Linked DNA regions of Oryctolagus cuniculus. The protein of the gene in region 1 purifies or fractionates together with the protein of each later gene. This does not show direct contact. Links are inferred from orthologs where the notes say so. Each region holds a gene or a part of one and is shown in the gene's direction. Other genes may lie near its edges. The genes, in order: HDAC1, SMAD2, SP3, RNF157, BRMS1L, SATB1 and KDM5B.

What was found.
Region 2: the proteins of HDAC1 (region 1) and SMAD2 purify together in Homo sapiens (affinity purification with western blotting; 5 studies listed by BioGRID, with this or other methods). This does not show direct contact. The link is inferred for Oryctolagus cuniculus from reciprocal best matches to the Homo sapiens genes HDAC1 and SMAD2.
Region 3: the proteins of HDAC1 (region 1) and SP3 purify together in Homo sapiens (affinity purification with western blotting; 6 studies listed by BioGRID). This does not show direct contact. The link is inferred for Oryctolagus cuniculus from reciprocal best matches to the Homo sapiens genes HDAC1 and SP3.
Region 4: the proteins of HDAC1 (region 1) and RNF157 purify together in Homo sapiens (affinity purification with western blotting; 3 studies listed by BioGRID, with this or other methods). This does not show direct contact. The link is inferred for Oryctolagus cuniculus from reciprocal best matches to the Homo sapiens genes HDAC1 and RNF157.
Region 5: the proteins of HDAC1 (region 1) and BRMS1L purify together in Homo sapiens (affinity purification with mass spectrometry; 7 studies listed by BioGRID and IntAct, counting the BioPlex papers as one, with this or other methods). This does not show direct contact. The link is inferred for Oryctolagus cuniculus from reciprocal best matches to the Homo sapiens genes HDAC1 and BRMS1L.
Region 6: the proteins of HDAC1 (region 1) and SATB1 purify together in Homo sapiens (affinity purification with western blotting; 3 studies listed by BioGRID, with this or other methods). This does not show direct contact. The link is inferred for Oryctolagus cuniculus from reciprocal best matches to the Homo sapiens genes HDAC1 and SATB1.
Region 7: the proteins of HDAC1 (region 1) and KDM5B purify together in Homo sapiens (affinity purification with western blotting; 3 studies listed by BioGRID). This does not show direct contact. The link is inferred for Oryctolagus cuniculus from reciprocal best matches to the Homo sapiens genes HDAC1 and KDM5B.

What each region holds. Positions count from the first base shown.
Region 1 is NC_091438.1:140,150,601-140,154,407, reverse strand, and holds part of HDAC1 (histone deacetylase 1), read left to right. Parts: intron 1-28; coding exon 29-103; intron 104-1,726; coding exon 1,727-1,865; intron 1,866-2,315; coding exon 2,316-2,457; intron 2,458-3,467; coding exon 3,468-3,560; intron 3,561-3,807. UniProt on the Homo sapiens protein: Histone deacetylase that catalyzes the deacetylation of lysine residues on the N-terminal part of the core histones (H2A, H2B, H3 and H4).
Region 2 is NC_091441.1:29,856,742-29,860,548, forward strand, and holds part of SMAD2 (mothers against decapentaplegic homolog 2), read left to right. Parts: intron 1-1,407; coding exon 1,408-1,461; intron 1,462-3,191; coding exon 3,192-3,404; intron 3,405-3,807. UniProt on the Homo sapiens protein: Receptor-regulated SMAD (R-SMAD) that is an intracellular signal transducer and transcriptional modulator activated by TGF-beta (transforming growth factor) and activin type 1 receptor kinases.
Region 3 is NC_091434.1:67,238,455-67,242,720, forward strand, and holds the start of SP3 (transcription factor Sp3), read left to right. Parts: upstream 1-1,440; 5' UTR 1,441-1,572; coding exon 1,573-1,579; intron 1,580-2,213; coding exon 2,214-2,386; intron 2,387-2,898; coding exon 2,899-3,039; intron 3,040-4,266. UniProt on the Homo sapiens protein: Transcriptional factor that can act as an activator or repressor depending on isoform and/or post-translational modifications. Binds to GT and GC boxes promoter elements. Competes with SP1 for the GC-box promoters.
Region 4 is NC_091448.1:4,554,874-4,558,680, forward strand, and holds part of RNF157 (E3 ubiquitin ligase RNF157), read left to right. Parts: intron 1-248; coding exon 249-357; intron 358-1,596; coding exon 1,597-1,714; intron 1,715-2,061; coding exon 2,062-2,234; intron 2,235-2,475; coding exon 2,476-2,541; intron 2,542-3,807. UniProt on the Homo sapiens protein: E3 ubiquitin ligase that ubiquitinates APBB1 for its degradation by the proteasome and thus prevents apoptosis and promotes survival of neurons.
Region 5 is NC_091443.1:39,740,645-39,744,451, reverse strand, and holds part of BRMS1L (breast cancer metastasis-suppressor 1-like protein), read left to right. Parts: intron 1-943; coding exon 944-1,027; intron 1,028-2,958; coding exon 2,959-3,023; intron 3,024-3,807. UniProt on the Homo sapiens protein: Involved in the histone deacetylase (HDAC1)-dependent transcriptional repression activity. When overexpressed in lung cancer cell line that lacks p53/TP53 expression, inhibits cell growth.
Region 6 is NC_091435.1:154,006,294-154,010,867, reverse strand, and holds the start of SATB1 (DNA-binding protein SATB1), read left to right. Parts: upstream 1-1,571; 5' UTR 1,572-1,710; intron 1,711-2,849; exon of another isoform or gene 2,850-4,574. UniProt on the Homo sapiens protein: Crucial silencing factor contributing to the initiation of X inactivation mediated by Xist RNA that occurs during embryogenesis and in lymphoma.
Region 7 is NC_091444.1:18,501,202-18,504,028, reverse strand, and holds part of KDM5B (lysine-specific demethylase 5B), read left to right. Parts: intron 1-257; coding exon 258-369; intron 370-1,416; coding exon 1,417-1,571; intron 1,572-2,320; coding exon 2,321-2,641; intron 2,642-2,827. UniProt on the Homo sapiens protein: Histone demethylase that demethylates 'Lys-4' of histone H3, thereby playing a central role in histone code. Does not demethylate histone H3 'Lys-9' or H3 'Lys-27'. Demethylates trimethylated, dimethylated and monomethylated H3 'Lys-4'.

The sequences.
Region 1 (3,807 bases):
AACTAACCTTTTGCTTATTTCTTTCAAGTCAACGTTGGTGAGGACTGTCCAGTATTTGATGGCCTGTTTGAATTTTGTCAGTTGTCTACTGGTGGCTCTGTAGGTAAGGAATCTATATCCCCTCCCAAGGGTTGTGCTGGTCTGTCCTCCCGAGGTCTGCCTTTTAGGCCACCATAGTGGTAGGGCTGACCTGTGACCATGTAAAATAGTCCTTAGATCTCTAGAATGTATTTCTGGTTGAGTCCCAGCCCAGGCTTATTGTCCAGCATGGTCCTGACAGATGTCCTTGGCTGTCCTCTCCCACTAGCAAATCTCATATATAGGAATTCCCTGCAGACCTCTGGGGTTGTCAAGATGCTGTACATAAAAGCAATTTGTGAACTGCCAAAGTGCTATAAAAATGGAAGTGCCATCTTGTGTGTCTTAGGAAGGAGTGTGGCAATTACCTTCAGAGGTCAGAAATATTCCCTGCCTAGGCTTAGCTCCCACTTCCACCTATAACTTCTGGGTTCCCGCTAGGACTACTTGAAACCCTTTCTTAACAAATATTTATTTTCCTATCATCATTATTGTATCCCCCTACCAGTATCATCTTGGAAAAAAAGAAGTGCTTGGGACACACACACAGTCACACTGTCCATGGATGACCTTGTTACTACTTGGGTGTTTATTTGCCTTTTCTTTATTCATGTTTATATATCTGGACATAAAATATGTATATGAGGGTACTTCAAGAAGTTTGTGGAAAAATGAAGTTAAAATATAAGTTTATTTTGGTGGAAAACAATTTGAAATGTATGCATAGGTTTTTGTAATATGTGTTTTCCTTGAACATTTTGAAGACTCATGGTATATGGATAGATTTAAAAATTCTTTTTGGACCAAAATAAATTTGTCTTTTACTTCCATTCCCATGAACTTTTGAGGTGTATGTGTGTGTGTATATGAATAATAGTTTTGTGCCTGCATTTTTTTTTTAACCTAGGATTTTTCTATCTGTAGAAATCTTCCACAGCCTGTTTTCTAGTGGCCATAGATTATTCCATGTTATGGCCCTACTGTAGTTGATATAATCTATCTCCTTTTACTGGACCATTTAGATTGTTCCATGCTTTTATTTCTTTGAAAGTTAACAGTGCCAAAAATGCACTTGCATGCATGGGTGTATATTTCTCATGTTTTGTACTCATTTGTACTTTGAGTCAGCCCTATCTTTGGTATCATTTCAAAATTTTTTGACCATGAACCGTAATAAGAAATAAATTTACACAGGTAATCCAGGATACCATGTGTGGGCACACACATGCACGTGAACATACACACACACACAAACACACACTTTTACTCTCTCATCCTAAAGCCAACGTTTTGTAAAAGGGCAGTTACCTTTACTGTTACTCTGATATTTTTATTCTAATCTGTTTCACTTAAAAATACACATGCCAGCCATGACCCACTAAGTCAATTTTAAGGTGGGTTACCATCCTCAGTTTGGAAAATAGTTTTGTTTTATTTTTTCTTTTTGGTAAAAAATATTTTTTGTCTGTGGAAAATAGTTTTTTAAGAGCAGCTGGTATCATGTTTATTCTCTATTGGAATAGGTGAGAGGGAGGGGCCTGGCTTATTGAATAGGCAGGTCCTACCTCTCCCTAGGTTCCCTGGGCTTCTTGGGGGGAGGGGAGAGTGACTTAGTAACAGGCTTATGTTCCTCTCTCCCCACGCCCAGCAAGTGCTGTGAAACTTAATAAGCAGCAGACGGACATCGCTGTGAATTGGGCTGGGGGCCTGCACCATGCAAAGAAGTCCGAGGCATCTGGCTTCTGTTACGTCAATGATATCGTCTTGGCCATCCTGGAACTGCTAAAGTATGCCTGCCTGGCCTTGTCTCTTGGAGGAGCACCTTAGGCCAGGTTCCCACTTCCCTCCCCGGGGATTGGCCCCCTAGTTTGCTTTTCCTAGCGGTATGCTGGCTGGAATGTGTGTGGTGGCTCTGGCCATCATCTCCTTGACGGGGTCTTGGTTTGATCTGAGCCCACGGCAAGATCAGGGCAGGCGCTGCTCAGATCCTGCCTCAGAGTGTCCTTGTGTGGCTGGAGTTGACCCTGGCTATAGAGTAGGAAGAACGGACTTGGTCGGCTTGGTCAGGCCTCTGGAGACACCCGGCCGCTCTTCCACCTTCCTTCAGCCAGTTTCCACGTCTCTGGTGCTTAGAGATACCTGAGGGAGGCAGCCAGCCCGGTAAGCTGGGACCTGGCGCCCTTGGCGCGTCCCATCTCCAAAGAGCCCCCAGACCCCTGACCCCCTTCTGATCCTAGGTATCACCAGAGGGTGCTGTATATTGACATTGATATTCACCACGGCGATGGCGTGGAAGAGGCCTTCTATACCACAGACCGGGTCATGACCGTGTCCTTTCATAAGTATGGAGAGTACTTCCCAGGAACTGGGGACCTACGGGTGAGAACTCTTTTTAGGGGCCAACCAGCTCACCCTCAGCTGCCAGCTCTAACTTTCCTATCCTGTGCCACTAAAAACCACTTCCTGCCTCTTCTGCCATTCAGAACACCTTTCCCCCATCGGGAGTGCCTCCCATGGTCTCTCTCCCTAATTCTGGAGGAGAGGAAAAGTGGGACATAAAGGGTCTCCTACCATTACTGGGCTTCCCTCATGGACGCAGCTGGGTTTCATTATGTGCTGGTCCTGTGCCCCACAAGGCTTGAGTTTTGTGCTAGGAACTGGGACTCTTGTGGATCATCTCAAGGCTTCTGAGCCTTTTTAGGTTACTTTCCCCTTTGGCCCTCTGACTGAAAGCTATGAACTCTTCCTAGAAAAGTGCATGAAACGTGGTGTCTGCTGTAGAACAGTCATCATGGAGCCCATCCATGAAACTCAGGATAAGAATCCTTGGAAGCTCCTTCATCAGACTACCTGCTTCTGTTAGCATGAGTACAGCAAACTGAGCCGCTTTGCGCTGCCTTTGCCCTGAGGTGAAAAGGCGGCACTAATGCAGTTGTTGGCCATGGCAAGCATTAGAATAAGTGAGCACTTGCTATTTGGAAGTGAGTTGGAAGCTTCCCTCTGTGCTTCCTGCCACATCTCCCTGGAGAGGAAAGAAAGGGGGTTGAAGAATGAGCAGCAAAGCTCCCTGGAGACAAAGGTTGATGCGAGTGGGTGTTATTTCTGTGACCTGGCTGCCAGCCAGCTCTACCCCAATGCCAAGGTAGAAGTCTTGTGCTGTGGGGTAGGGTGTGCAGTCTCAGGCCCCATAACCAGCTCTCGGCCTGCGTGCAGGCTCAGTGACGGGATGTGGACTTGCCAGTGAGAACAGCACTAACTCAGTGCCCCTGCTTTGTCCTGGCCCGCCTCTCCCAGAACCGCTGCCTCTTCCCTTAGCCTTCCAGCCCCCATCCTTGAACGCCTTCCTCAGCTTCATCTTTCAGTTTTACTTTAATGTCCTTCTCGATTAGGATATTGGGGCTGGCAAAGGCAAATATTATGCTGTTAACTACCCGCTCCGAGATGGGATTGACGACGAGTCCTATGAAGCCATTTTCAAGCCGGTAAGTGGCTCTATCCACCCTGCGGGCTACAAACAGCAACTTGGTGTAGGGGACTCAGCCCTGCTAATGCCGGTTGGGAAATGAGAGCTTGCAGTCGCGTTGTTTTAGATCTCCGTCTCTTTGGAGTTAGCTCCCGGGATGTAACAGTGGTAGGCTTCCTTGGCTTTTCATGTTTCTTGCTGCCTTACACTGATGTCTACGCTTGAGGAAGTGTAGGGACTCCCTGCAGCCCTTGCGGCCCGGCTTG
Region 2 (3,807 bases), on another chromosome or scaffold:
CTCATGTTTGTAATTATGATTATTTAACATTTTGTGAAAACTGTCTTTTAAATATAGTTGCATAGAATTGAGCCAAGTAGTCTATCGGTGTTTGTTTTTTCCTCTTTTTCCGTTGTGTGTGTTTGTTCATCTTCCTAGTTTGTGTATTTCTCCCCCTCCCTCACCTCACCTTATTTTCTTGATTAGATTTAACCTATATAAGGAGAGATCAATTTTATAGGAAAATAAAATTCTCAACAAATCACTTGGATAGAAGAAACAGAATGTCTTGGAGTAAATGCTAGGAAATTATTGACTGATTATGCTGGTACTATACTCTTTAAACCGTTCCAGAGCATAAAGACATTAAGCTTCCAGATTGTTCGGACCTTGTTCACAGAGTCTTACACACAGTACTCATGTAAATCTGCGGACTAGTGTTGCTTGATACTAGCCATGAACAAAAATCTTAAGTAATGTTTTTTTCTTCTTAGTCTTAAGGCCAGTATCATGCTTACTGAGAAAATACTTGAAATGTTGTCTTTCAGCCAGAAGGAACCATCACCACCACTTTTATCAACATGTGACAAACCCCAAAATGATTCACAAATTAAGTCATGTAACATTTGTTTTTAATGAATTGAGTTGCAAAACTGATGACCAAATACAAGCATCCATCCGTGAAAGGACTAATATCCTTAATCCTAAAAGAGCCTTTACAAGTCAGTAAGGACAGTGTGATCAACAGCACAATACAGAAATGAGCAGAACAGACTCATCACAGAAGGAAGCAAAATGTCATTTTTAAGAGAAATGCAAATTAAGACACAACACCTCTTACCAAGGGCATCCCTCTCCATTTGTGTTGTTACTGAGTGGTAATTCTGCCAGATATCTATCAGAATTACAAAATGCACAAATCTGATCTCACAGTTTCCCTGATAAGACTGTCCTTCAGTGTGATTGGAAGTATGCAAAATGTGCAAGATGAATTGTTCCCATCTTGGGTTTTGAAGCAGTAGATTGAAATAGCCTGACTGACCATCAATATGGGTTCATAGTATGATGCCACACAGCTGGCTGATAGGTGTAGATGGTGAATAGGAAACACAGCAACATGAGCGATCTCTGATAGAGGCACATTACAAGTATGTGTGCTTACGGTGTTTCTGGAGCATACATAAGCACTTCCAACGTTAGATGGCTTTGGAAAGAGGAGCTGGGTGGCTAGAAGCCAGACTGTTTATAATCTTTTGTACCTTTTATGTATAGGAGCTCTCCAAATTAAAGCAGCAGTATGTTTTGAATTCTTGGCATTTAAGTTGTGTATTATTGGTGATAATTACAACCAGTATAACCAGTTGTATTAAGTAATATAGAAGTTCTAGAAATACTTGAGCATTAAAGAATTGAATCCTTTTGTTTTAGGCTCTCCAGCAGAACTGTCTCCTACTACTCTTTCCCCTGTTAATCACAGCTTGGGTAAGTTGCAAATAGCTTTTCCCCTGCCATTCATACACTGTATCACCTGCATAAAACTATTTTCTAAGCAAGAAAGGAGTACCAAGGAATAATCAGGTAATCATGCAAATGGTTTAAATTAGTGCTTTTAATTTTTTAAAAATGAATCTATTTGAGAGACAGAGAAAGAAAGCTGCAGTTGGCTGTTTGACTATCTTAATGCTTATAATGGCTGGAGCTTGGCCAAATCAAAATTGAGATCTAGGAACTGAAGCCAAGTCTCCCACATGGTGGCAGGGACCCAGTTACCTAAGCCATCATTGCTGTCTCACAGGGTCCCCATTAATAGGAAGCCAGAGCAGGAACCCCAGCTGTAATTATACCCAGACACTGTGATGTGGGACATGGCCATCTTAACCAACGGCTTAACTGCTAGGCCACACACCTGTCCCTACATTAGTGCTTTTTTAAAATAGAGATTACTGGGGGCCAGTGTTGTGGCATGGCGGATCAAGCTGCCATCTGCTATGTTGGCATCCCATATGCGTGCTGGTTCATGTCCCAGCTGCTCTGCTTCCAGTCCAGTTACCTTCTGATGGCCTGGGAAAAGCCAATGGAAGATGGCCCAAGTGTTTGGGCTCTTGCACCCCTGTGGGAGACTTGGATGAAGCTCCTGGCTTCTGCATGGTTCAAACCTGCCTGGTACAACCACTTGGGGAATGAACCAGCAGGTGGTATACCTCGCTCTAACTCTGACTTACAAATAAATTAATAAATATTTTAAAAGACAAAATAGATATTATTGTGTCTCAGTATCACTAAAGTCTCTATTGGTACATATGAATGTAATAAATGATCTTTATATTCATTGAAATTATACTTTATTCATCAAAAATTTTATAGCCTATTATATGTATCTATGGGTTTGTTTTACAGTATATCTTATCAGTTACTACTATAAGAGGTATATATAAATATATGTATATACATATAAAATATGTATGTGTTTTAGAGCTGTATACACATATATGTGTGTATATACTTATGCGTTCCTGTGATTTATTTTACGTGCTCTTTTATATTTATAGTTTCCCTTCAGTTTCTAGCCATTCAAAGTTCTTCAAAGTTGTCAGGGTTTTTTTTCTTCCATAATATTATTATTTATGATACACTTAGTCAAGAGTGCCAAGGTTCAGCACATGTGCTCCCACTTTTCTGATGAAATGAGTACTCTTGAGCCCTTGTTCTATTGATACTTGCATACTCTTTGTGTTTTAGTACTTTTTGGTTCTAATTTGGTAACTCACTGAGAGTCTCATGTTAAAATAGAGAACTGTCAAAAAATATCTCACGTTTTTTGTCTTCCTTTAAGACAATGTTTTTTCTTGTGACTTCCAACTCATTAATCTTTGCTCCAGCTTTATTCTAGTAGATTTACCTTTATTATGCTTTTTAGAAATGCGCTAAGTACAACAAGTTGCAGAGTTGGGCTCTGGTAGTTTTGTATTTGAGTAAGAACTAAGCTGAAACTACTGGTAAAACGAATAATCCAACATAATGTGACGTTGTGAGATGAGGGAGATTTGAAAATTGGAAAATCTGGTAGGAGCTGTGGAAACGGATACACATGTTACTTCGGTCTCTTAGGTGTTGCCAGTGTGTGCTGGCACAGGGCATGTGAGATGATGAGATTCCATCTCTTTATGACTTGAATTGTTCACATACTTTTTTTTATGCTTCATTTCTCCTAGATTTGCAGCCAGTTACTTATTCAGAACCGGCCTTTTGGTGTTCAATAGCATATTATGAATTGAACCAGAGGGTTGGAGAGACCTTCCATGCCTCACAGCCTTCCCTCACAGTAGATGGCTTTACAGATCCATCAAACTCAGAGAGGTTCTGCTTAGGGTTACTGTCCAATGTGAACCGAAACGCCACAGTAGAAATGACAAGAAGACATATAGGTATGTTTTATGTTCCTTGTGCAAAGAACTTACGTATAAGAACCCAGTCCTCTGGCAGTTCAGCTGCTGTCATGGTTAAGTACACAGGCTTTCTTTGATTCTTCAATCTGCAAACTCTTGCCTTCAAATTATTATTTGGCACCCTTGACACTGAAAAGTTCTTCAGTAATGTGTGTTACAATAACATAAGTTTGTTAAGTTTTTGCCATCATAAAATGAGTGTGTTCAGATAGTAGGGTTAATTGTTATAAATCATGAGGTCCTCTTCCTCAGTTTGTTTATATCCCCTGTTGTATTTTTTTCTTCCTTCTGTGAGCTCATATATTAAATGATTTTAAAAATCTTAGGCTGAATATTTAAAGCAAGAGCTATCATTTAATATAATTCAGGGGGGTCTCAAAGT
Region 3 (4,266 bases), on another chromosome or scaffold:
CATAAGTGCTTTTTAACTGAGATGCAAAGTTAGTCAATCACAAATGGGCTACGAATTTAGTTACTGCCCACAAACTTTAAAGTGTTTGGGCTTCTCAACTTCCTCCTCCAGCAGTTTCATTTATCACATGAAATACAATCATCACCGTTAACTGGAACACTGATTTTGGAGTCAGAGTTACAATAAAAGTATTATGGACAGTCTCCCTGCCTTTAACCTTTTTCTTGGCAACTATACCTAAAGGTAATAGGCAGAGATGTCTCTTAGTTGGCAAAACACACACATAAAACCTGAGCATTTTCGCCCAGGATGACAGCAAGATATCAACGATGCCAAAGATGGAAGGAATGTTAGCCTAATCCAGTAAGTGAAACAAGATTTTAAAAACTAAAGCATGAAATGTTCCAAGAAAAAAAAAAAAAAAACCAAGAAACTTCACTGAGATTCACTATTTAAAAAATGTTGGCAACGGCCGGCAGGACCTTTCAGACTTGGTACCGAGAGGATTAAAAAGCAGGGAATGATATATGTATGTGTAGTGCAATGAGTGGCTAATTTTTTTTTTCTTTTTAAACAAGGATTCTTGCCTCATTGAACACATACACACGCCACATCTAAGTTCCTTTTCTGGTGCCACTGGCCAGCATGAAAGCTCTCCACTTGATTTTTCTCTCGCTCTAAACGGCTGCCTCCAGGGCAAGGGAAAAAGGGAGACGGTTGGAGACCTGGGGGGCTGAGAGGGATGGGAACGAGATGGCTCTGGCTGTGAATACGACAGCTCAAAGTGTGTGAGAGAGAAAATCCTCCTCCGGCTTCGGAGGGGGTGTCTCCCCCAATACCAGCTCCCTCCCCCCGGGCTCGTGGGGCGGGTCTGGTTTGCTCAGTAGCAGCAGCGGCCGCAGCAGCAGCCCCGAGGCTCAGCGGCAGCGGCCTCCTGGCAGCGCAGGGAAGCGGCGGCTCCGGGAGCGCGAGGCCCTGGGGAGATCGAGCCGAGGCTGCCGCCGGGATGGAGAAAACATCGAGTGGAGCCGGAGCCACCGGGGACGGATTTCCTCCCCAGCCTGGCTGCCCTACAGCTCGGTCGGGCCTACTCGGAGAGCCTGCGAGGCGGAAGAGGCCTGCGTCTCGGGCCTGGCAGCGGCAACCGGCGAGCGAGGCGGGCACAGCGGGGTAACTGGCGAGCCGTAGCCGCTCTCGGGAAGCTACGCCGCCACAGCCGCTCATTGTCTCTCCTCTTCCACCCGGGGGGCAAACAGGAAGCGCGCCGCCTGGCCGAGCGACGGACGGGCGTCCGGACCAATGAGGACGGCCGACGGGGAGCGTGGTGGCGAATGAACGCGGAGAAGAGGGGCGGGACTTCCGGGCGGGCTGTCACCCTCTTCCCCCCTTTTGGGCTGGAGGCTCCACCTTTTGTGTTTCCCGCACAGTCAATCAAAATAGGAAAAAAAAATCCCCGGACCGCTCCGGCCGTGTCCGCCGCCGCTTCCCGCATCCTCTCCCGCCGCCGCCGCCTTCGCTCCTCACCATGTGTAAGGCGGCGGGGAGCCCCGCCTGAGGTGCCCTAAACACACTATGACCGGTACGTAAAGCCGAGAGAGAGCAACCCCTGCTGCTGCCGCCGCCGCCGCCGCCGCTGACCGCAGCCAGCCCGGGGGCCGCCGCCGGCTCCCGGCCCCGTGGTGTGCCGCCGAGTGTCTGTGAGAGGCAGAAAGCCGCACTCCCCTCCGCCTGCCTGCCCTCCCCGCCAGCCACCGTCCAGCCCTCAAGCCCCCCAGCAGCGCCGTCTCCCCGCCGGGCCCCGGGGCGGGCGGCCCGGGCCGCCGGGAGCGCATCCCCCTGTGTGCGGGCGCGGGCGGCGGGCGGGCGTGTGTGAGTGACTGACGGTGCGAGAGGAGCGAGCGCGAGTGAGAGCGAGCGGCGCGAAGGGAAAGGGGAGGAGAGGAGAGGAGAGGGGGCAGGGGCAGCGCGGGGAGGAGGAGGAGGAGGGAAAGAGGAGGAGGAGGAGGGTTACTGGCAGCGGCGGGCGGGGGCAGCAGCAGGAGGGGAGGAGGGAGCCGCCGCCGCGCCGCCGCCGGGGGGCGGGTGGGGGAGGGGAAGGGGCCTCGGTCGGGGCTCTCGGAGTAATTTCGCCGCGGCCCGCGGGCCCCCTCCCTCTCCTCCACCCGCCTTCCTCCCCACCCCCACCTCCCCCCCCCCCCGCGCTGTGCCTGCAGCTCCCGAAAAGCCCGTGAAACAAGAGGAAATGGCTGCCTTGGACGTGGACAGCGGCGGCGGCGGCAGCGGCGGCGGCCACGGCGAGTATCTGCAGCAGCAGCAGCAGCAGCAGCAGCAGCAGCAGCAGCAGCACGGAAACAGCGCGGTGGCGGCGGCGGCGGCGGCGGCCCAGGTGAGGAGCGGCTGAGCCCGGCCCGGCTCCCCCCTCGCGCCGCTTTCTCCTCCCCTCGCCTCTCCCCTCCCTCCGCGCCTCTCCCCTCCCCTCCCCCCGCCCCGGGAGCTGCCCGCCCGAGGCGCCAACGCTCCGACCCCGCCCGCGCTCCCCCGCCCGCCGCCAGCCCGCCCGCCCGCCGCCTTTTTGTGCGTGTGTGAGTGTGCGAGGGTGCGCGCCCTCCCGGGGTGGGTTCCGGGCGCCAGGTGGAGGCCCGGCGCGCAGCCCGCCCGCCGACGGGGCCCGCGAGCGTGCGACGGGGCGGCCAGCCCGGGGCGAGCGGCGGGAGGAGGCGGCGGCGGCGGCGGCAGCGGCGGCGGTGGTGGTGGTGGCGGCGGCGGCGGCGAGCGCGGGCTGGCGCTGGCCGGGCCGGCCCGGAGGACCGAGCCGCACTTCCTGTGCGAGCGGCGGCCCGGCCCTAACCGCCACCCCCCTCCCCTGTCTCCCTCTCTGAACCCGCCCATCGGGGGTAGGACACTCAGCCGTCACCGCTCGCTCTGCTGGCCGCTACCTGCAGCAAGATAGGGCCGCCATCGCCGGGCGACGACGAGGACGAGGCGGCCGCCGCTGCCGGGGCCCCCGCCGCCGCCGCCGCCGCCGCCGCCGCCGGAGCGGTAAGTCCCGCGCGCGCGGCCCGCCCCCGCCGAGGCCCCGGCGCCCGCCATCCCCGGCCTGCGGGCGCCCGCCCCGAGGCCTGCCCCGCGCCCGCGCGGCCCCGCGCCCCGTCCTGCCCTCCGCATCCCGGTCTGGCCCCGAAGCCGGCCCTGGCTCTCTGCACATTGTCACTGCGGCACCTCGCTCAGAATTCGCCACAAAATGAAGTCTGCGAGGGCGGGGGTGGAGGACTCCAAAATGGATGTTTGAGCAATTCATATCAGCGCTGCAAACTCCTTCGCCGAGCGGTAGTGCATTTTCAAGCACAGCCTATCGGCCATAGATAGTATCGGCCACGGCGGCAGTGCCTCTGGTTCTTGGAATTCTGGAACCTGGAGCTTTTTCTGCTGGAGGTTGCTAGGTCTGACTGACTGAAATCGTAAGAAAGAAAAAGTGAAGTTCGTTCCCCCGAGGTAGCCTTTTGTATGCAGGAATGAGCACTCCTTGAGTGCTTTTTTAGTGACCGCTCAAAATTGTTGGATTTGAGTTTTTGCAGGCTGCTACTTAAATTTCCGGTCATCTTTCCTAGGTGGTGTTGTGTGGAACACTTAGCGACCGCTGAAATTAGACAACTTACTTAGGTGGTTCTTTAGCTTTTGAAATTGAATGAGTGTCAGCTTCAGAAACAAAAGTCAGGAATTGTATTTACATGCGTGCTACTTACAGTTGGATTTGCTTGGCAAAACGGTTATTTTCATTTTATTGTGGTTGCTGTAGGATGTGGTGGTATTCTTTTTGTAGTGTTTTTACAGTGTCTGGGCTGGGGGGAGGAGCTGGCAGTGTTATATTAGGGCTTAATTCACAGTTATCTGTTAACAGATTTTAGACAGTTAAGTTGTGAACTTTACTGTTGCTTTAGTTTAACATGTTCGTGTGTTCACTTACTAAAATAATTGGAGCCCTTTTTTGACATGGATAATAGGAATTGATTTGGTGATGTTTTCAATTGGTAACTGTAGACGGAATTCTAAGTTTGATATTTGCTATAGTCTGCATTAAATACTTAATGTCTGGTCGTTAAAAGTTGACCTAATGTTAAGCTACTGTTAAGCTACATTATTGGTAAATGTCATTTTAGTGCTTCAGATTATACTCTAGGGGACCTGAGTAGCTTTAACTTCTTAATCCTGCTTTGGTAAACAGATTAAAATGTAAAAGCATACATTTGTGAGAAGCACTGTTATTAA
Region 4 (3,807 bases), on another chromosome or scaffold:
CCCATGAAGACGTGGGTCATTGCTCCCGAGCTCAGGCCTTAGCAAGTCACCCAAGGGGCCAAAGGAGAGCCTGGCGTTGCTGACCCCACACGGGGCCACGGTCCCTTCCTGGCCTCACCCCAGGATTCAGGTTTTTCCCTCAGTTCCTTCCAAGGGCCCGCGTCCCGGGAAGTCTGAGTGAGGAGAGCCCAGCGGGGCCCTGCCTCAGGTGGGAATTGGCCGCCGCTGTGTCCCCTGTGCACGGACAGGTCCGTCTCCCAGAGCTCCTCGGTGCTGCACGAAGAGGAGGACGAGCGCTCCTGCAGCGAGTCGGAGACGCCGCTCTCGCAGAGACCCTCGGCCCAGCGGCTGCGAGAGGTGAGTGCACCCTTCCCCTCGCCTGGGCGCTGGCCTCCAGGCGCCGTCCTCCGCCTGCCTGCCTGCCTCTCGGGCTCTGTCCACTCCCATGCCTTCATCCAGCACTTGCCAATAGTGGCAAAGGCCCGGTAGCTGCACGTACCACTTGGTAGGCACGGCCGCCGTGCTGAGCAGGTAGCGGGAGCGCCGCACTCTGCCCACGGCACTTGCACGCTGGCTGGTCGGGTGGGAATAGACACGAAGGACGTCCAGCACAGGAAGTGTCCTGGGGATCTGGGACACAGGAACAGCAATGCAAGACCCTGGGGTGTGCAGGGAGGCCAGCGTGGTCGATGGCGGAGGGCTGGCCCGTTCTACCCTGTGGTCCCCGTGGACTCGACTGGACAGAAGTTTGCTGTCCTCCTGCTCTGGCAGGGCACACACAGACTTTGCTCGGTGGCCCAGGCCTCAGGAGCTCAGCTCTAGCTGGGACAGCACCGTGTGTGGCCCATTGCTACGGCTCAGTATTGGTCAGGTGACCGCATGAGTGAATCATTGGATTTAACTGAGAGACCCCAAAAGTGTGCAGCAGAAGTGCAGCCGGTGACACGAAGTGGGAGGAGTCAGAGCAGACGTTGCCAAGGAGCAGCGCTTGGGCCGAACCTTGAAATGTTTTAGCCGTGAGAGAAGCATGCAGATGGAGAGGATGGCGTGGGCCGGCGCTGCAGGGCGCGCTCACCTGCCAGGTGTGCAGGCTGGGACCCCAGAAAGGGCGAGGGAAGTGCCTGCGCTGGGCCAAGGCGGGGGGGGGGGGGGGGGGGGCAGGGGGCAGAGCCAGCACAGCCATGCAGCCTCCTGGGACGGAGCCGGGGACAGCCGGGGAAGAGGCGCAGGGCCGGGGTGGGGGCAGGGCCCGACTGTTCTGGATGGATTGAGCCGGAACTCACCGGATGCCCACACAGACCTGCCCACAGCCAGAGAGGCCCCTGTGGAAGCTGTTGGTGATGCTGGGGAAACCTGGGGCGTCCCCCCACCGTGTCCCAGCTGCTGGGTGACCTGCGTCACCTGAGCTGCGGTCTTTGTGAGGCCCCAGCAGATGCTGTGCCCCGAGCCGGAGGTGCTGAGTGAGGCTCGCTCCTCCCCGGAGGCAGCCATGCGGGCCCCGGCCGGCCACAGAGACGCCTGGCACGTGGTGCCTGACCACGGGGAACCCTGTCCCTCCCCGTGTCTTGTTGCTGACGTGTGCTGTGTCCCCCGCAGCCCCAGGAATGTGGTGTGACCCCCGAAAGTGAGAACCTCACGTTGTCGTCATCGGGAGCCATCGACCAGTCGTCTTGCACAGGGACGCCGCTCTCTTCCACCATCTCCTCCCCCGAAGGTACAGGAGGGGGCGGGGGCAGCTGCACGTCCTGCCCTGGCACCGCCTCTGGGCGCGCGGCTGTCTGATGAGCAGGCCCCACTGGAGGGGGCGGGCGGGGGGCCTGCTCTCCTCCTGGGAGCTGGGGAGAAGCGTGCTCTTAGTCCCTCTCCTGGGCTGTTGGTCCCTCTCCTGCCCCCGGAAGATTTCCTTTAGCTGTGACAGGGGAAAGCAAATCCCTGGGCCCTGAGGTTGAGTTCCAGATCTCAGGAATCGTTCAGTCTTGTCTGGGGAGGGCGGCTCAGCTCCCTGCACTGCACTGCCGGAGCTGGCGGGGGCTTGGCCTGACACCACCTCCTTCTCCCAAGACCCCGCCAGCAGCAGCCTGGCCCAGTCTGTCATGTCCATGGCGTCCTCCCAGATCAGCACCGACACGGTCTCCTCCATGTCCGGCTCCTACATCGCCCCCGGCACCGAAGAGGAGGGAGAGGCTCTCCCGTCCCCCCGGGCTGCCAGCAGGGCCCAGTCAGAGCAAGCAGAGGTAAGGGAGGACGGCCCCACTCGGCCTGGCTTCCCTGGGCTTTGCATGAGTGTCCAGAGTGGCTCAAGAAGGCATCTGCCGGGGCTGCCCACAGAGCCCCAGAGGGCTCCAGAGGAGTCCCGAGGGGCCGGCCTGGCCTGGGATCAGACCCTCAGGCGTCGGCGGACTTGCTGGGCCCCGCGGTGGCTCTGCACTCCGCGCCTCTGGTAACCGTGGCCTGGCCTTTGGTGCTCTTTTGCAGGGGACGCCAGCAGAGTCTCCGGAGAGCAACTTCGCCGGCCTCCCAGCGGGAGAGCAGGACGCAGAGGTGAGCGGCCGCAGACAGCAGGACGGGGCCGCTGAGGCTGGCTGGGGGTCCAGCAGCGGCAGGGGGCCGGCACTGGAGCTTCCCGGGTCAGTGAAGCGTGTGGGCAGAGCACAGCGAGCCACACTCTGGCCGTGGACTGTCCCCTTAGCAGGGCGCTGGCCCCAGCCTGATCCGTGTGGAGTGAGTTCAAGAGGGAACTTGGCGTGCCAGACTGGACCTTGTGGGTCATCGGTGAACATTTAGACCACAAATGTGCCAAGGGTGTCCCTCCGGCACTGGGCACACCCAGAACTGAGGGGCACGGGTCCCACCTGCTCTCTGCCCCCACCCCTGCCCCGCCGCCTCCAGGAGCCCTGTGCGTGGCAGCAGGATCAGGGTGCAGTGTGGGAAGGACCCGGGCCTTGCTTCCTGACTGCTCATTCCGAGCACACAGAAGGAACCTTGAGGAAGTCCACGGAGGGGCAGGCATTTGGCTCAGCAGTTCAGCTGCCCGCATGCCCAGGTTCAAGCCCCACTCTGCTTCCGCCGGGTACGCTGGGAGGCAACAGTGAAGGCGGCAGCTCTTGCTCTCTGCCGCCCTCCTCAAGGCCCGGGGGGAGATCAGCCTGCCCAGTCCCCGCTGTCACGGCGTCTGGGAGTGACCAGCGGACACAAGATGTCTCCTTCCCTCTCTGTCTCCATCTCCCTGTTGCTCTGCCTTTTGAATAAATAAAATGGTAACCTTTTTTATTTATCTGAAAGTCAGAGTTATACAGAGAGGTGAGGCAGAGAAGAGAGAGAGAGAGAGAGAGAGAGAGAGAGAGAGAAAGTCCTCCATCTGATGGTTCATTGCCCAGTTGGCCACAACGGCCGGGGCTGCGCCGATCTGAAGCCCAGAGCCAGGATCTTCTTCTGGGTCTCCCATGTGGGTACAGGGGCCCAGGGACTTGGGCCATCTTCCATTGCTTTCTCAGGCCACAGCAGAGAGCTGGATGGGAAGTGGAGCAGCCAGGACTCAAACCAGCGCCCATATGGGATGCTGGCGCTGCAGGCTGGGATTTTAACCCACTGTGCCACAGCGCCGGCCCCAAATGGTAACTTTTTTTTAAAAGTTTGTGGAAAATCCGCATTATGAAAATCTACATGGATTTCAAATTTTTTGCACCAAAATAAATGGTGTTTGAGTTCCACCTTTCCCTGGACTGTCTGAAGTGCCCTGACTTCTGGAGTGTGGCTTAGACCTGACGGTGCCTCTCCCCAGCAAACCCAGCGCAGGAGTTGGGCTGT
Region 5 (3,807 bases), on another chromosome or scaffold:
TTCCACTGTTAATGCTGCTAAAGGAATTGTCCGCATAGTAGGGGAAAAGGAGAGGCTGCTGAAGAATTTGATGTGATTGTGATTGTTAGTTACCTTGACCTGAGCTCACACTTCAGAATGCCAAAAGACACGGAACTCATGACGGGGGACAAAACAGAAGTGTGGCAGGGGTCTCTCTCTGAGCACAGCATGAGAAGACAGCTGTAGAAGATTGTTCCGCTCAGCCCTGGGAGGCTCATGTGGAAGAAGGAGTGCAAACCTTTTCACTGTGGTGGCATCAGACAAACTAGGCACATGGAGAAAAGTTACAGGGATGCAGATTTTTGTCTCAGAAGAAGGAAAACTTAATACATAAATTAGGCCACTGCAGTGTGAAATTTACTTTTTCCAGGGATATTGTGGACAAGTTTTCTTTGTTAGGGAGAAGGCTGACTAGGTTACCTGCAGTTCTTGCATACTTTTCATTTTATCTGTTATAAATTTTATTCCTCTGCTGTTGAGTGGCCATGGTGAGTCACATAAGCTGAGCTCTAATGCCGGTGTTCCCTTGCCGGTTCACTGGGTGACTGTGGACAGCTGCTGAACTTTGCTAAGCTGGTGTCCTTGTCAGCAAGAAGAAGTAGTAAGAATGTCTGCCTTCAAGGTAAAGTTGAGGATTAGGTGAGACGATGCATGTGATATATATTTTACGAAGCACCTGACATGTGCTCATCAATTATCCGTAAGTGCTAGACCGAGTTTTGCTTTAAAAAAGGCAGAGGAAAATTTGTAAGTACTGAATGTAGCTGCTCCTGGAGCGGTACACAGTCCCATGTGTATACACATGGCTGCCAGTGGAGTTGTGTACAGTGTATACTTGAATAGGTGGCCACTGTGAGATGACTGTCATTTTCCCTCCTTTGGTCAGCAGAAATCTAATCTTTAATTTTTACTTCCTTGCCAGAGCTGTGGAATGATGAGCTTCAGTCGAGAAAGAAGAGGAAGGATCCTTTCAGTCCCGACAAGAAGAAGCCCGTGGTGGTTTCAGATATCCTTCTCTGGGTTTTCGGGGGTTTTCTTCCTCCTTGCTGTACATTTCTACAGTGTGCATATTTTGGGAAATTTTATTAGTACACAGTGATTTTGTTTTTAATGAGTAAACCCTTTTTTTATGTAAGATTTATTTAGTTATTTGAAAGAGTTACACAAAGAGAGGTGAGGCAGAGAGAGAGGTCATCCATCCACTGGTTCACTCCCAAAATGGCAGCAATGACTGGAGCTGTACCAGTCTGAAGCCAGGAGCCAGGAGCCAGGAGCTTCCTCCAGGTCTCCCATGCGGGTGCAGGGGCCCAAGGACTTGGGCCATCTTCCACTGCTTTCCCAGGCCATAGCAGAGAGCTGGATTGGAAGTGGAGCAGCCAGAACTTGAACCAGCACCCACATGGGATCTGGCACTGCAGGCGGTGGCTTTACACACTGTGCCACAGCACCAGGCCCACCTTTTTTTTTTTTTTTTTTTTTTTTTAAGAAAAAAAAGTGGAAGATGACTTATAAAATGGATTGAAGGCAGAAGATATAGTTTACATTCAGAATGGTGGGGGAAGAGAAGAAATTTATTCATGATTTCAAGTTTGAAAATTCGTAGGCTTCCTAGCCTAGTAGTTAAGATGTCTGTTGCATATGCTGGAGTGCCTGGGTTTGATATCCAGCTCTGCTGCCGACTCCAGCTTCCTGCCAGTGGGAACCCTGAGAGGCAGCAGGGGGATGGCTCAAGTGGCTGGATTCCTGCCACCCACGTGGGATTTCTGGATTGAGTCTCTGGCCCAGGCCTGGTTGTCACAGATGTTTGGGGGAAGAGAACCAGCAGATGGCAGCTCTCTCTTTTTTTCTCTCAAAAAAAGAAAGAAAGAAAGAGTATCTATATCTCTATGTAGCATGTAGTATACTGCATGACGGTTTAATTCTCATTTGTACTTTTTTTTATTTGAAAGGCAGAGTTTACAAAGAGAGAGGCAGAGACAGAGATCTCCCCATCTGCTGGTTCACTCCCCAAATGGCCACAACAGCCAAAGCTGGGCCAGTCTGAAGCCAGGAGCCAGGAGCTTCTTCTCCCCCATGTGGGTGGTAGGGGCCCAAACACTTGGGACCTCTTCTGCTGTTTTCCCCAGACACATTAGCAGGGAGCTGGATTGGAAGTGGAGCAGCTGGGACTTGTAGTCGTGTCCACACGGGATGCTGGCACTACAGGTGGTACCTTAACCCACTGTGCCACAGTGCCAGCCCCCTGATTGTCTTTAAATTAAACTACTATATGCATCCTTATGGAACCCTCCCTTTGCCTCTGTATCTTAAAAACCTCTGTCTTTTTAAAAAAAAAAAAAACCAAACATTTATTTATTTTTATTTGACAGGCAGAGTTAGACAGAGAGAGAGAGAGAGAGAGAGAGAGTCAGAGAGAAAGGTCTTCCTTTTGTTGGTTCACCCCCAAATGGCTGCCACGGCTGGCGTGCTGCGCCGATCTGAAGCCAGGAGCCAGGTGCTTCCTCGTGGTCTCCCATGCGGGTGCAGGGGCCCAGGCACCTGGGCCTTCCTCCACTGCCTTCCTGGGCCACAGCAGAGAGCTGGACTGGAAGAGGGGCAACTGGGACTAGAACCTGGTGCCCATATGGGATGCCGGTGCCGCAGGCAGAGGATTAACCAAGTGAGCCACGGCGCCAGCCCCAAAAACCTCTGTCTTTTCCCCTCAACCTTAAGTTATCAATGTTCTCATAGAATTGAAGGAATATGATTGTGGCATCAGAAGCACTAGACTATGTATGTCAGTACTTATTTGGATATGTAAAATAATTGGGAGTCAGAATTCAGAATACCAAAGGATTATATTCCTGAACCGTTTTTCAATTCTCTGAAAAATTGAATGTTGGAAATATAATTCAAAGTGTTATATCTTTACTGCTGAATTGACCTTGACTTTTCAACGTCCATATATAGTTTATATGCTACAAGATCTTGATATTCTTGAAGACTGGACAACAATCAGGAAGGTATGATTAAAGAAGAGTGAAGCACAAGTGCATTTTTATAGTCTGCTTTTTAGGAGTATAGATTTTTCACTAATACATCAAAGCATGATAATTGTTAAATATTCTTTGCTTTTGCAACATTTTCTCTAAGATAATTGGTAGTATTACAGATAGCAGCAATCTGTAGTGATACTTCAAGAATTAGGGACATGTCAGCAGTTTTTATAATAATTTATACAAGAATTACAGAAAAACATTTTTTTATTTTGCTCCCAAATAATATCACCATTTTGTGCCTAATCCTTAGCCTGGTCCTGGCTCATGGAAGACACTCAATGTTTGTTGAATGAACAAAAGTAAACATTTATTTATTTATTTTAAAGATATATTTATTTATTTGAAAGGCAGAGTTACTGAGAGAGAGAGAGAGAGAGAAAGAGAGAGAGAGAGAGAGAGAGTCTTCCATACGCTGGTTCATTCCCCAGATGGCTACAATGGCTGGGCTGGGCCAGACTAAAGCCAGAAGCCAGGAGCTTCATTTAGTCTCCCACATGGGTGCAGGGACCATCTTCTGCTGCTGAAAGTGGAGCAGCTGGGACTTGAATTGGAGCCCAAATGGGATGCCGGCATCACAGATGGTGACTTCACTTACTACACCACAGCACTGGCCTCACATTTTTCCATTTGTTATAAACTTCTTAGTTGAGAGAGGATTATTTCGAGTATTGATAACACCTCCAGGAGAAGTTGTTATTCTGTGTATTTCATATGATCTTAGACTTTAAAAATGTATTGAAGCAGCTAG
Region 6 (4,574 bases), on another chromosome or scaffold:
GAGTCTGCTTCCCCTTAACTTTAGGTAAACAGTAGTAATGTTCTGTTGTCATACTCAATGCAAATTTCCCAAAGGCGACACGCACAAAAGACCTGTTAGCTGCCTTACAGCTGGGGGCAGGAATGGCAGGGCAAGGAGGGAAAAGTTGATGGAGTTCCAGTTTATCCTTAGCCTGGGGACTGGAGCCTCCAGGCACCCGCACCCTGGTGGAGCAGAGGTCTGTGGAGTTTCCGCCCCGCTCTCGAAAGGTTCCTTCTCCTCTCCTCTCCTTAGCCCCCTGTCCAGGAAATCCTCATCTCTTCCTCCCTCTTTGCCCCCAGCTTTTGGGGGGACTCGAACCTCAGCTTAGGCGTTCTCATTCCAGTGGGCTCAAAAGTGCAGCCGCTGACATAAGGAGGAATATTGAAACAAATGGGCTGGGGCACACCGCTGGGGTCGGCAAGCGAACCCCTCTGTTCTACCACCAAGCGCCGCTCAGTTGGGGTGCAGCCCTCCAAGATGGGGGTGGGGGTGCTGAGTGGGACGGGGGTGGGATGAAGAGAGACGGACGGGCCAGGCTGAGAGGGAAAGCGACCCTCTAGGAAAGATCTCGACCGAACACTGACGGGAAAAAAAAAAAATTGGCCCACATGCCCCTAGTGGGGAGCGATGCACCCCACGCAGGCTGGGAGGGGGGCGCATCGGGGCCTCGCACCTGACTTCCTCCTCCACCGGCACCCACACCGCTGACACCCCCTCTCAGTACCCTCCCCAAAAGCCCAGCCAAACAACGAACAACAAGAGGAAGCCGCAGGCGGCAGAGGAGGGGTGCGCGTGGTGGGGCCCGGAGAGGTGAGGGGGCAGGGGTGGCGGGCGTCGGGAATCGTGCCGCGCACCCCCGAGCGCCCACACTTACCCCTAGCGGCCCAGGGTCCGTTCTTCGCCGCTAACCCCGGCGCGTGCCCCTCGCCCACCCCGGGCCCTCCAGCCCCCGCCCCCACCCCGGCCGGCGCGCTGGGAGGGGGCCCGGGAGCGGCGCGCGCGGCGGCGGCAGCGGCGGCGGCGGCTCGGGCTCGGCTCAGCTCGGGCTCCCGTGCGCCCAGGGCTGCCAGCGGCCGCGGAGGCTCCCGCCGCCAGGGGGAGAAACCGGGGCGGGTGCTGGGGAGGCGGGCCGGGCCCCGGCCGGCCGCCCCGCCGGGCCGCCCGCGCCGCGCCAGCTCCGAAGCGGCGACGCGGGGTCCGCCGAGCCCCCGGGCGCAGCGAGCCGGCCGAGGCGCGGCGGCTGGATGCGCGCCCGGGTGGCTGTGGCCTCCCGCGGGGGCGCCCGGCCGCGGCGCTGCGCCTGCAGACTGCGGGCGCGGCGACCGCCCAGCCGAGCGCGGCTCCCGCCGGCCCCTTCCCCCGCCCGCCCCCGCCGCCCCCTCCCCCTCCCCCTCCCCCGTTAACATCTCCTCCCTCCCCCCCCTGCTCTTCCTTCCCTCGGCCCCGCGCGCTCGCTCGCTCCTCGCTCCTCGTCTCGCTCTACCCTTTAAACGCCCACTTCGGAGGGGGAAAAGAAGGCAACTTGAAGTCAAGTTGCGATTAACTTCCGCGGCAGCCGCAGCTCGGCGGCGGCGGCGGCTGGGGAGGCAGAGCCGCCGCCTCGGAGTCGGACGCGGGCGCGCCCGCCCGGAGCCGTGCCTGCTCTCGGCCGCACTCGACGCCACCGCCGCCCCCAGCACCCATGCCTGAGTGAGTTCTGTTCCTTTGCCTCTTTTCCCCGCTGCTCCTGCTCTTTCACGGCCGTGCCTGCCTCTTTTTCCGGGATCGACCCAAACTTCTCTGCAACACCCACCCCCGCGCCCCGCGCCCCGTGCCCCGCGGCTCGGCTCAGCGCTCGCGGGCGGCCGCCGGGGCCCGGGGGCTCGCGAGCCCCCGGAGGGGTGCGCCTTCCCGGGAGGGAGAGCGGCGGGCTGGGCACTGGCCGCCGCCGCCGTTCGCCCTCTCCCGAGGTGTGGACACGCGCACACACCTGCCCGGCAAACTCCCTTCAGGTCATCGGTCCAGCCCCTGCCAGAAGAGAAACCGGGCACGGAGGAGACCAGAGGACGCGGACGGGGAAAGGGGCAGGCTCTCCGCGCGCCCCGGACTGGGCGGGCTGGGGAGAGGAAATGTGCCCCCGCCGGCCCGCCGGCCCGTGCAGCATCCCTGGCCGGTCCATCCCCGCCTCCTCTGCGCCCGCTGGCGCGGCTGGCCGCGAGCGGCGGAGGCGAGGGGCCTGGGAAGTTTGTGGCAACTTCTCCATCCTGGGAGCCGCTCGGGCGCCTGGGCGCTCGCGTCGGGGCCGGGAGTTGGAAAGCTGCAGCACTCCGCGCCTCGAGCCCTCGCGGGCTTGGCTGCGGCGAGGCCGGTCCCGGAGGGGCTGCGGCGTGGATGCAGGTTAGGAGGCAGGGCGCGTGCTGCCCTCGGAGCGGGCATCGGGACGTCACAGGTGCAGCCACGAGGTCCCCTCCTGCGGTCAGGACCTGAGCGCGGCGGCCTCCTCCAGGTGCTCTCCCCTGCCGAGACTCCGGGGCTTGGCAAACCACGAGGAGAGGGAAGAAGCAGGCAGGTGGCCAGCCCGGGGAGGGGCGCGTGGCTGCGGGGAGGGGGGGAGGGAGGCGGGGAGCTGGGCGCGGGAGGGGGGACGCTGAGCAGGACCCTCCCGAGGTGACCCTAGAAGACGGAGAGGGCCGAAGTGCGTGGCACTCGGGTTGGAGGTTCTGGCTCCGGCCTCCACCGGGGCGTCGCACATCTCCCTTCCGAGCGTCAGCCACGGGGTCCTGTCGCAGAGTGCTCCGGTTGGCCACTTTGACCCCTGCGCCCGTCCTCGGAGAACTTTCTCCAAGACAGCCCGGGGTTTCCTGGCAAATGCTCTAAGACTGGAACTCCACGTAGTGGTTTAAAAAAACAAAAGCAGGGACGACAGAAAGATCTGATGCTGGCAGGGAGGGAACCTTTCTTTCCGGACTGACTGGGCTTCCACGCCTGCATCCTTGGAGGCCCGGGACCTGAGGTTCCCCAGAGGACAGAGGAGGGGGGTGAGAGTAAGTCAAGAGCGGGTTTTGTCCTTAGCAGCCCCTGATATCTGCAGTGTTTGTGCTGCGGACAGAGTAACTCGTCCCGTTCAAACTTAACTGACGTCGACACCCTATCTAAGGTGGATTTTTCCGAGATGTCAGGAATGTGAGGTTTATTCTATATTCAAATGTAGCTGCTAGATAAATAAATAAATAGGCCCCGCACTTTAACTCTGGAGAAAGCCAAGGTTGCAAGTATTTGCTTTGAAAACCTGCAGTCCCCTACGTGGTATTAGTGTGATGGTTTAGCAGCCGTCCTTTATTTCTATTGCGTATTATTTTAGTGGAACAGTAGTACATTCATATACTGGCTGCTCCAGTCTGCTGGCAAACATTAGCATTCAAGCTTACATTTTTGACAAATGTGCAGACAGGAATAGCATGAATAGGCATCTTAAATATTAACAACCTAAGCATCTGTTGTGAAACAAATTTAATATATTTACTCTGTTTTTCTCACATTGTTAGGAAAGGTTATAATAAGTGCATAATTTCAACTTTAGTTAGCAGAAGTAACTGGCTGTATCTTTCACTACCTCACCAAGTGTTTAACACAATCACCAGACGTAAATACTTTAATTAACTTGGTTAAGCTCATTATTAAATACACTTTAGACAATGTGCATGTCATGTAAAATGTAACTGTAGCAAAATATGTATCCTACTTGTGCACATTTTAAATAGCTATGCACTTTATAAATATACCAAATGTTTATTCTTCATCACCATTTGACACTTATTACTTCATATTTTTTCTAATGGAAACAGTATTTTAAATGTAGAGTTGTTCAGTCATATGTAGTACATAATATGTAAGCAGTAGCTATAAAATCCAAAGCATTGTTAAATTTGAATATAGCTACATGTAACAGGATAATACAAGAGAAGTAAAATCAATACTCAATTTTGTATTCCCTTCTGAAGAATAATAAATACAGATGATGAATAAAAAAAAGAATAGGGGCTTCCCTCCTAAAGTGCAAACTCCTTAAAATGTGTGTGCTGTGGGGGTGGGAGAGGGAAGAAATAGATAAGACTTAAAGAACTTCCAGAAGTCTGAATAGTTATTTTCAGAATCAATGCATTCCTCACTTTCCCACAAGTTGAAATATGTAATAAATAATAGTTCTTTGTATGTAAAAGTATTCAAAAGGAATGCCTTTTGTTCAGTTGTTGTAATAAATTAATATATTCTTTGGTTGATAATCTAGAAAACCAGTTCTTTTGTCTCCTAGCATCTTAAACAAGAACAGCAACAAAATGATTATTTGGTTTATTGCTGCAAAGAAGTCTGTTGCCAGCCATATGAACCTGTGGTTGACTATGATAGGATATGCTGAGTGATGGTTAGGAACTCCAGTACATTAAATTAGCAAAGATTGAGATATCTAGAGGAGAATTTCAGCTCTTTTCTTTTCTTTTCTTTTTTTTTAATGTAACAGGTTGTGGATTGTAAATTAGGCCTAAAAGGTCAGGTGACAGGCACCTGTTCCTCAT
Region 7 (2,827 bases), on another chromosome or scaffold:
CAGTAAGGCCCAGAGACTCATGGATCTGCTCCACACAGAGAAGACGGCCTGCTCCCAGTGTCCTTGCCCTTCTGGAGTCAGTAAAACCAGGAAGATTAAAGGTTTTGTCTTAAGGGGAGACAGGTGGTGATGTGGCCGATTTTAAGGCACCAAGAGACTGCTTCTAGTTTGGGGAAATCCAGCTGTTCTTCCTTGTTGCCTGCCTTAGCCCAGGCTGCTCTGTGGGAACAGTGGTAACCGGTGTCTTCCTCCCCCAGGTGCCTCAGCCTCCCGGCACTGCGTCCCTTTCCTCGCCCGGTGACTGGGATAACAGGACCTCGTATTCACACTGTCCCTTCTCCACTGGACAGAGTTGTGTCCCTCTCCATGGTTTGTATTTTATTAGGATTATTTTGAGGGCTGGGTAGTAACAGGTCATCTTGTACTAGGTTTTTGTTACAGATGATGAGGTACCAAGAAAAGGCCTTTATCCTGAGGTTGGTGTTGTGGTGCTGCAGCTTAAACTGCCGCTTGCCACACCTGTGTACCACATCAGAGTTCCGCTTCAAGTTCTGGCAGCCCCACTCCCAATTCAGCTGCTTGCTAATGTGCGGGGGGGGGGGGGGGGGGGGGCAGTAGGTGACGGCCAGAGTCCTGGAGTCCCTGCCCCACTCGTGGGACATCCCAAAGGAGTTCCTGGCTCCTGGCTCCTGGCTCCTGGCTTTCGCCTGGTCCAAGCCAGGCTGTTGTAGCCATTTGGGAGTGTGAACCAGCTGATGGAAGACATCTGTGGTCTTCTCTCTCTCTCTTTCACCCTGCCTTGCAAATAAATAAGTACATATTTGAAAGTGCTGGGGGGTGGAGGAGGCTTTATCCTCATGTAGGGTATGAGTGTGCTGCATGGAGAGAGAGATCAGACTGAGAGACTTAGCAGTGCAAGCACACAGGAAGGTTCGTGCCCACTGCTTCCAGGGAGCCGGATCCACCCTTTGCCAGCTGATGATAGAACACCAGGCTGCCAAGTGGGGCTCCTGAGGGAGGCTTCATCACTTTGGAGATAATCTGTGTTTAAAACCTGCTTGTTTCCTGAGCGACTCCCATGAGTTGTGTCTGGCACTTCAGCCGGAGTCCGATTCCTGGACAGGCCGTCCCCGTGTGTGGCCGAGCGCCGTGGGCCACTCGGAGCCCGCGCGCCTGGGCCGCAGCTCGATCCTGTGCTTTGTTGGAAAGGCCACCAGGGCAGAGGCGTGGCCTGGGCTGCAGTGGGCAGTTAGTTAGCGGCAGTGCCTGGCTTGGGTTCCGCCCGGGACAGTGTGGCCGAGGCACAGTAAGTGAGCCTAACGGCCTGGGAACGCAGGTGAGGAGGGGGCGGTCTTTTGCTTTCCGGAGCACACGGGAGGCCCTTTGTTCTCACTGGCTTGGTCTGCTCCTCCACAGGCCTCAGTCCAGAAGTGAACGAACTGTTAATGGAAGCCCAGTTGCTGCAAGTGTCCCTTCCTGAAATTCAGGAACTTTACCAGACCTTACTCGCACAGCCAAGCCCCACGCAGCCGAGCGACCGGAGCTCCCCGGCGCGGCCCGGCAGTGAGAAGGTGGGTGTCGGCGGGCCCCTCTCTTTTCCCTGTCCCAGAAGAGCATCCAGCCTGTGTTCCTCCCGGCCGCCGGGGTGGAAGGTGCTGGAGGTGTCAGTTTGGGCTCCGAGCTGGGTTTGGGTCCTGTTTGAAGCCACCGAGTGACAGGGTGGTGGGTTGGTCTGTACCTCGGGGTGCTTCTCGTGGCTCCCCACGGTGCTAGTGGGACAAGAGGCTGACAAGGCGGTGCAAGCCGAGCAGGCCTTCCGTGCCCAAGAGTCACTTAACAACCACTCTCCACTCCGAGGATGTCCTGTTGGGGTGCCGACTGCTCTACCGAACGCCCTGTGGCAGCGTAGTAAGCTTCCTGCTGCCCGTCCCTCCCGGGGCTGGCACTTGTCAGGCCCCTGAGAACGTGGTGAGGGTGGAAAGCCGCCAGGCGGATCCAAGCCGCATGAGGAAAGGCGATCACTAGCCAGAGCCCCGTGGGCCGCTGTGTGGTGTCATCCAGTGCCTCTGCTGCCATGAGGGTTGGGGGTGTCTCCCCAAGTGGGACCGCGGCCGTGTGGCGCCTCAGCAGCCCGCAGGGTGCAGGACGGCTCAGGCGCTGGTCGGTCACTGTCGGCCTTGGCGGGCACCCGTGCGTCCCCGGTGCCGGCTGGCAGCTGTCTGGGGAGAAGGAAGCGAGGCCGCCTCACCCCGCTTGTCCTGTGGGACTTGGGGTGGGTGCAGGGTCGCGTGTGGTTGACCTTGGCCTGTCTCCCACCCAGAAGGACTGCTGCCGGGGCAAGCGCGACGCAGGCAGCAGTGTGGAGAGGAAGCTCAAGAGACGCCTGGACAGAGACGGCCTCGCCGGCGAGCGGTGGGACCGAGTGAAAAAAACGCGGACACCCAGGAAGAAGAAAATCAAACTGAGCCACCCCAAGGACACGAGTGATCTCAAGTTAGAGAGGGAGCGTGGCTACGAGTCGGCCCGTTCTGCCGAAAGCCACTCGCTGCCCTCGGACGCCTCCTACTCGGAGCAGGAGGACTCCGAGGACGAGGACGCCCTGTGCCCGGCCGCCAGCTGCCTGCAGCCGGAAGGAGACGAGGTCAGTGCGGTGCGCGCCGCGGAGGCCGCGCCTCCCCTTAGCTCCGCCTCCCCGTAAGCTAGACCTCGCCGCCCGCGCCGCTGCTCCGCCGCTCCGAGCCGACCCGGCGGCTCGCTCGGTCCTCCCCCACTGCTCTCTCTGCTCCTCCATCGCTCCTGGGGCTCCTCCCTTTCTTGAAGAAACTCT